Linked DNA regions of Canis lupus familiaris. The protein of the gene in region 2 interacts with the protein of the main gene of each other region in a biochemical or structural test. Links are inferred from orthologs where the notes say so. Each region holds a gene or a part of one and is shown on either strand. Other genes may lie near its edges.

Region 1 (3,820 bases), on a different chromosome or scaffold from region 2:
TTCAGTCTTAAAACACCAAGATCATGACCTGAGCCGAAATCAAGAGTTGGATGCTTAACCAACTGGGCCACACAGGCGCCCCATGGAATGTGTTTTTTAAACAACTGATGACAGATGTGAGGTGAAGTCAATGTTATAAACTCTGAAGATGGTGAGATCGGCAGAGGGAAAAATAAAACGCTCTTTGATCTTGCCTTAGAGGCACCTGCCAGTCATGTTGTAATTCTCTCTTTGGAGGCTGATTTCAGAGGGCTACATACTGGATTCTGGCATGGGAGCATGGGAGTGGTTTCGTGGGCATAGCCCCTGTTGTTGGGTGTCTGGAATCACTGGTGTATGTCTCTCTCTCTTTCTCTCTCTTTGACTAATTTTATTTCTTTGGTGTGTCCATAGGTGTTCTCTTACTCAACGCTGTCCTCACCGTCCGGGCACATCAGGCTAATTCTCATAAGGAGAGAGGATGGGAACAATTTACTGATGCGGTAGTGTCCTGGCTAAATCAGAACTCCAGTGGCCTTGTCTTCTTGCTCTGGGGCTCTTATGCTCAGAAGAAAGGCAGTGCCATCGATAGGGTATGGTTGTTTTGTTTTTTAAATACTTCAAACCTGTTTAGAAAATCTTAGGAATCCCTGCTTTGTGGTCCTGGAAAACCCATGTCACAAGGTGAAGTTTATTTTCCCTAAAGGCTTATAGTTAGGGTTAGGTTTCCCATTGAAAATTAAGCAAAATTCAGACAAATTATAGGAACAACTAACTTAGTTGTGTTTGAGGAAAGCAAAGGGCCAACTTCTGAGAGTTAGTATACAATAGGCATATACTTGCCAGATACATAGAATGATACGGGTATCATTCATTTAACAAATGATGCGGTAAGTAATGAATAAGGCAAGTACCCTACCTCCTCAACCCACCCTCCCTCTGTCTCCCCTGATATGCTCCTTCCCTGCTCCTCCGTTGACCCACATGCCTGGTGCTGAGATTAAAAACCAGAAGCCATCCTTGAATCCTCTCCTTTCTCTTCTCCCCTTAAGCCTACTCTGCCAGCAAATCCTGTCCCCTTACCTCCTGAGAACATCCCAGTCCTGCTGCTCACCGTTGAGACTGTTACTTCTCTCCAGGCTGTGACAGACTGTGGAGTTGATGGTTGGAATGGAGGACAGCGTGGTGGAGGAGGAGCAGTGGGGGAGGTGGTGGGAGGCAGGCATCAAAGACGAGCCTTGGCCTGGGCTGCTGGGGGACACAGGATTCATTGCAGTGAGTGAAGTAAAGGAGTTAAGTGAGGTTGACAGTAGCTTGTGTGTTGGCAGGAAGCAGCTGGTGTGTCAAGAATGCCCAGGTAGCCCTTTTCCTACAGAATCTCGTTTAACAATTAAAGTATCAATAAAGTTGTAGTGTGTGGCAGGGCAGAGATAAGAACCTGCTTGGGAGTGTGCAGAGCAGCAGCCTGCTCACATTGCTCACCTAAGGTCCTGCCGGGGGTGTGCCTGCAGAGCCCACCCCAGGGCCAGGAGTGTGTTCAGGTTCCATGCCTGCAACCCAGTCCCAAGTCTGTCCACTTGACCCTTATTGTCCACTTCTCCATTTTCTCTAGGATGGAATTGGTTTTTATCTTAGTGTTTTGGTTTTTTTTAAAAGATTTTATTTATTTATTCATGAGAGAGAAAGAGATGCCGAGACCCAGGCAGAGGGAGAAGCAGGCTGCATGCAGGGAGCCTGACGCAGGACTCGATCCCGGGTCTCCAGGATCATGCCCTGGGCTGAAGGCGGCGCTGAACTGAGCCACCCGGGCTGCCCTTGTTTGTTTGTTTTTAAGGTAGTGGGTTCACATAATTAAATAAAATAGGATATTAGGGTACACGGTGAGAAGTTTCCCAGCCAGTCCTGTCTGTTTAGTGGTTTCCCAGGCTCAGGGAGGCACCGGCTTTTGGTTTCTGACATGTCCTCCCCATGTCTTTATGTGAACGGCAGTAGAGTGTGTGAATCAGGGGAGGCAGCTGCTCTCTCTACAAAGTTTCTGTGTGAACGAACAAGGTGTTTTCAGGTGTTTTGAGGAAGGGAATGGTAGAAGTAAAATCTGGCGGGAATGAACTAACTGCTAAGATCTGATCATCTAGGTAAGATGTCCGTGGAAGTGATTCCCTTCTGTGTGCTTTTGGGAGATTGATACTCCGTGTGTGTGTGTGTGTGTGTGTGTGTGTGTGTGATTTTTATTACTGAAAATGGTTTGGTTTGATTGGAAGCAGTTGTAAAAGTAGCTTGGTGATTAGAAGCCAGGTAGCTTTCCTGAGCATTAGGTCTGTATTCAGCTGTCTCTTTATCCACGGCCCCTCAGCACACCTGATTCCACGTTTTCCAAGGTAGGTTCTCCTTTGCTCATCCAGCCTTGCCAATCTGGCTCCTGTAGACTCCCCCAGGATAGAAAGTACAACCGTGCATTTGTCCACTCAGAAATCAGATAGCATTTGTGACAACCTTCCTCCCTCCCACCCCTCTTTTTCCCTTCCTCTCTGCTCACCACCTGTCTGCCCTATCTATCCCATACCCAGTCAGGCATTCATAGCCTCAGACTCCTCATCTGGCTGCCTTGGCCTCGATTCAGGCCCTCATCTGACCTTGGTCCCCCTGAAGGCCCTGCCTTGGGAAGGTGGGCTGGGGTCTGGAGCACTAGCAGGGCCCTGGTCTGCTTTCTTAGCCACAGCTCCTCTCTTCCCTACATCCCACTTCCCTGCCTGCCTCTGAACATCCTGGCTCCCCTCTCCAGAGGCCAATTAAACTCCTCCTTCAAAGCTCAGCACAGCTCACATTTCAGCAAACCCCTCCCCCCCCCCCAGGTGCACGGCAGGTGGCATGCTAGTAAGCACTTGACCCCTGTTACTTCTCACAACACACATGGGCATTGTTCACTCCTGCACAGTGTCTCCATAAGTAAGGCTCTCTTCTACCCCCTTCACAGCAGCAGAAGGAAGTGCAGCCGCAGGAGGCGGCAGAGGCAGAACTGGAACCCAGGCCTCTGGGAGCTGGACTCCAGGCTCCTCAGCATGTCAGGCTGCCTGGCTTCCATTATGGCCCCTTCCTGGACTTAGCTATTTGAAGGCAGAGAGATGTTGTGAAAACAATTAGTTGTGAGATGGTTTTTATTTAAATACAGAAGAGAAGAAAGAAGAAAACAAACATCGTCCACAGTCTTCTTGCTCCACAAAGTATGGCCGACATTCAAAAAATCAAAGTGTTGTTTTTCTTGACAATTCAGGCTGATGCACAGTAATGCAAAGCTAGAAGTAAAATGCCTTCCACTATTTCTTTTCCCTAATGGAACTGCTATAAATAGCATATTGGATATTAAGAAAAAAACAAATATGCAATTACCTATTTTCTTTTTCATCTAGTTGATATATTTAGGTCTTCCCTTACTAGCATATGTAGCTCAGCCTTACTCTTCTAGTAGCCTTGTGGTGGTCCATTATAAGAAGTTCAGAAAAATGTTTTTAGCTAGTGGCATAACACTGGATTTATTTTTATTTTTATTATTTTTTTTAAGATTTCATCCACTTATTCATGAGAGACACAGAGAGAGGCAGAGATACAGGCAGAGGGAGAAGAAGGCTCCATGCAGGAAGCCCAGTATTGGACTTTATCCTGGGACCCTTGGGATCACGCCCTGAGCCAAAGGCAGACGCTCAACCGCTGAGCCACCCAGGCGTCCCAGCACTGGATTTATATTAGGTTTTACCTGGTATAAGCCATGCTGCCGTGGGCCTCCTTAAACCTATGTTTTCGTAGAGGTGTACGCATCATGGGGCCCTTTAGCAACTGTATTCCT
Region 2 (3,820 bases):
ATCAAAGTATAAAATGCTACCATAAATTATCTCAGAAATAAGCACAATAGTCCCAAAGCATGAACAGTAACCTTACCTCCTGATATTCTCCTAGAGGGGTCAAATACTGGAGAATAAGACGCTGCTCAATAGCAGGGGTCATAGGATAAAGGGTATAATTGGTGCCAATCACCCAAGGTGACATTTCTGACCAGCTGCTATTAGACAGCTCAACAAACATGCGATCTGGATCAGACGTTGAGAAACCCAACTTCTGCTTGGCTTTCCTAAAACTCTCTCTGTCACCCTGTTTTGCTGCCTTGTTTTTTCTCAATCCTCCTTCCTCAGGTTTGGCTGCTGAGTTCACTCTACTACTGGTCTTGTGGCCTGAATCAAGATGAAAAGAGATCTCCATGTCCCCAGAAGCTTCCTCTTGTTCGCCATCCACTACATCTACAGCCATGTCACCATAGTCCATATCCACAGCTTCTTCATCCAGAGGTAAAAGAGGTTCAGAGGAGAGCTTTCGTGGGCTGGGACGCTTGTTTTCTTGCCGTAAAGCCACTTCCTGAAGCTGCAGCTCCCTCAGTCTTCGAAGTACTATTGCCACCTATCAATAGATATTGGAGTAAAAAGCTTTATTTCTCCTGCATCTTAATTTAAAGGATTCTTAATAAATATTCTTATTTCCATTTAAGGAAAACTAAATCTTCAAGCAGTCATCTTAATATCTGGAAATGGTAAAGACTTAATAAATATTTTGACTTTATTTCTATAGTTTGATAAAATAAGCAATAGCTAAAAGTCTCATTCCTCATAAAATGTCCCAGAAAACCTAAACCACATTTACATATCACACATCTTTCACAATTGATCTACCTAGATCAAGCTGGGCTGGACCATCACACCTAATGAGGAAGACACCAGACATATTCATGATTTTTAAAAAGTATCTTTGAAAATAAAACATGAAGGTTTTCTCAAACTTGTACCTGTTATAAATTGTATTGTTAGATACTGCCATCTACATAATTACATGATCTAGTTTTCAAGTTTACCGCTTTTTCACTTTTTCTTTTAAGTATTTATTTTTTGGGACATCTGAGTGGCTCAGCAGTTGAGCGTCTGCCTTCAGCTCAGGGCATGATCTGAGGATCCGGGATTGAGTCCCACATGGGGCTCCGTGTGGGGACCCTGCTTCTCCCTCTGCCTATGTCTCTGCCTCTCTCTCTCTCTCTCTGTGTGTGTGTGTGTGTGTGTGTGTGTCTCTCATGAATAAACAAATAAATCTAAAAAAAAAAAGTACTTATTTTTTTAAGCCAACCCTAAAATGTAGTAGTATGCTTAGTTTTTAAAAAAAAACAGGGGCGCCTGAGTGGCTCAGTGGGTGAGCATCTGCCTTTGGCTCAAGTTGTGAACCCTGGGTCCTGGGATTGAGCCCTGCATCAGACTCCCTGCCTGCTTCTCCATCTGCCTATGTCTCTGCCTCTCTTTCTGTAAAATCATAAATCTTTAAAAAAAGTTATCTGCAAAAAATGGTGGATGAATAGAAAGAAAGGTGGGTGGATGGGTATACAATAAGTATACTAAAACATTCACAAATAATTTAAGTGGATGTATATAGCTACTATCTGTAAATTCTATTTTGCTATATGCTTAAAATTTTCATAATGCAAATATTGGGAAAAGAAAGGGGATGGTACTATTCTTTACCTAGTACAAACTATCATGATCCTTGGCAAAATGGAAAATGTCTATTTCAAGTTAAAAAAAAGTAAAATCAGGGACGCTTGGGTAGTTTGGTGGTTGAGCATCTGCCTTTGGCTTGGGTTTGTGATCCCAGGGTCCTGGGATCGAGTCCCACATCGGGCTTACTGCAGGAAGTCTGCTTCTCCCTCTGCCTACATCTCTGTCTCTCTCATAAATAAATAAAATCTTTTTTAAAAAAAGTAAAATCAAAACGTGAAAAATAATCTTCCAATATCGAAATTATAGCTATACTCCAATACAAAGTAATGAATAAGATCTACTATCTGAGTTCAGGTAGCAAGAAAAAACTTGTGAATATGCTCCAATCTTATACAGAAAGAAATTCCAACATAATCCTTACCAGCTGTGAATTCTCATCCCTATAATTGGCAGCAATATCTTGATTCTCCATAGCACCTCCTAACAATCCAGTAGAATACGTCCTCAATGGCTGATCAGCCTCTCGGGCCCATTTGAAAAGATTCTCAACGATTCCTTCCTATATAGTAAAGAAAATGAAATAGTACAATTCAGCAAAGATCATTTTCATAATTAAAGATATAAGCAAAGATTTCAGTCTTGTGAAAAAAAGTTAATAAAATACTTCAATGCTGCTTATAAGATTAAAAAGCACAAGTAAACTAAGTTTCCAAATGGTTTAGTTAAAATAGCTATCCATCGGGGCAGTTGGTTAAGTGTCTGCCTTCAGCTCAAGTCATGATCTCAGAGTCCTGGGATTCAGAGCCCCACATCGGCTCCCTGCTCAGCAGGGAGTCTGTTTCTCTCTCTCTCTCTCTCTCTCTCTGTCCTTCTCCCTGGCTCTTGCTCTCTCAAATAAATAAATAAAATCTTAAAAAAAAAAAATAGCTGAGCATCTGTGAAATAGATTCCTATTTAGCCATTAAAATCCAAGCTAAAGGTCAATAACCACATAATATAGTCCTACATTAGATGTTTAAGACCCAAAATGTTCAATAATCAAGTACGGAGCACTAAAAATTCTATGTCCTCCTTTGAAATTCACAATGCACAATTAACAATATTAATGAGAAGTCATCCATCAAAGAAGTACTTAACTCCACATATCCCAAACTTATTTATTATGAAATAATACATGCAAACATATATAATCCAAAGAAAATGAAAATCACCCATGATCTACCACTGAGATTAATAAAAACCTTCCCTATGTCCCTCTTTGTGCCACTCCTATGCTCTCTCCCCAAAGGGTATCTACAGTAACGGAATTTTAACAATTTTCCTATTAAACTTCTGTTAAATGTATCATACTTTGAATTATATAAACCCCATGGTACTGTATTTTTCTTCAACTTATTACTCAACATGTTTTTTACATTCACCTATAGTTACATGAAGCTGTCACCCACAGCATTCAACGTAAGATAGGCTTTGGACATAACTACTTATTAATTTCTCGGGGCACCTGGGTGGCTTAGCAGTTGAGCATCTGCCTTCACTCAGGTCAGGATCCTGACATCCTAGAATCGAGTCCTGCATCAGGCTCCCTGTATGGAGCCTGCTTCTCCCTCCCTGTGTTTCTCATGAATAAATAAATTCAAAAAAAAAAAATCTTTAGGGATGCCTGGGTGGCTCAGCAGTTGGGCAGCTGCCTTCATTTGGGTCATGATCTTGGGGTCCAGGACTGAGTCCCACATCAGGCTCCCTGCGAGGAGCCTGCCTCTGCCTATGTCTCTGCCTCTCTCTCTCAGTCTGTGTCTCTCATGAATAAATAAATAAATAAATCTTTTTAAAAAACTTATTAATTTCTCGTATCAACCCTATATGTTTGGGTAAGTACCTGCAGAAGAGAAAACGGAGTCACAATAAGGTTAAGAAATATGAGTGGCAGAAGGGTGTCTGATCCCAAGTAGCAACCTCCAGATGTTCTTCACCTCCATATTTTGCTGCTATTTTGTTAGTTTAAGCAACTACAACTATTTTTGTGCAAGCATATCCCTAGGATGAAATCTAAGATCAGAACTGCTAAATCACAGGATATGTATGCGCTCAACTTTACTGAAGGATGCCAAGTTATCTTCCAATGTGACTGCAACAATTCATATTTCCAACA

The links.
Region 1: of the proteins of DCAF1 (region 2) and UNG, one has a biochemical effect on the other in vitro, tested with the Homo sapiens proteins (2 studies listed by BioGRID, with this or other methods). The link is inferred for Canis lupus familiaris from reciprocal best matches to the Homo sapiens genes DCAF1 and UNG.

Annotation. Positions count from the first base shown.
Region 1 is NC_049247.1:18,255,095-18,258,914, reverse strand, and holds part of UNG (uracil-DNA glycosylase), read left to right. Parts: intron 1-393; coding exon 394-572; intron 573-3,820. UniProt on the Homo sapiens protein: Uracil-DNA glycosylase that hydrolyzes the N-glycosidic bond between uracil and deoxyribose in single- and double-stranded DNA (ssDNA and dsDNA) to release a free uracil residue and form an abasic (apurinic/apyrimidinic; AP) site.
Region 2 is NC_049241.1:38,547,172-38,550,991, reverse strand, and holds part of DCAF1 (DDB1- and CUL4-associated factor 1), read right to left. Parts: intron 2,228-3,820; coding exon 2,090-2,227; intron 590-2,089; coding exon 77-589; intron 1-76. UniProt on the Homo sapiens protein: Acts both as a substrate recognition component of E3 ubiquitin-protein ligase complexes and as an atypical serine/threonine-protein kinase, playing key roles in various processes such as cell cycle, telomerase regulation and histone modification.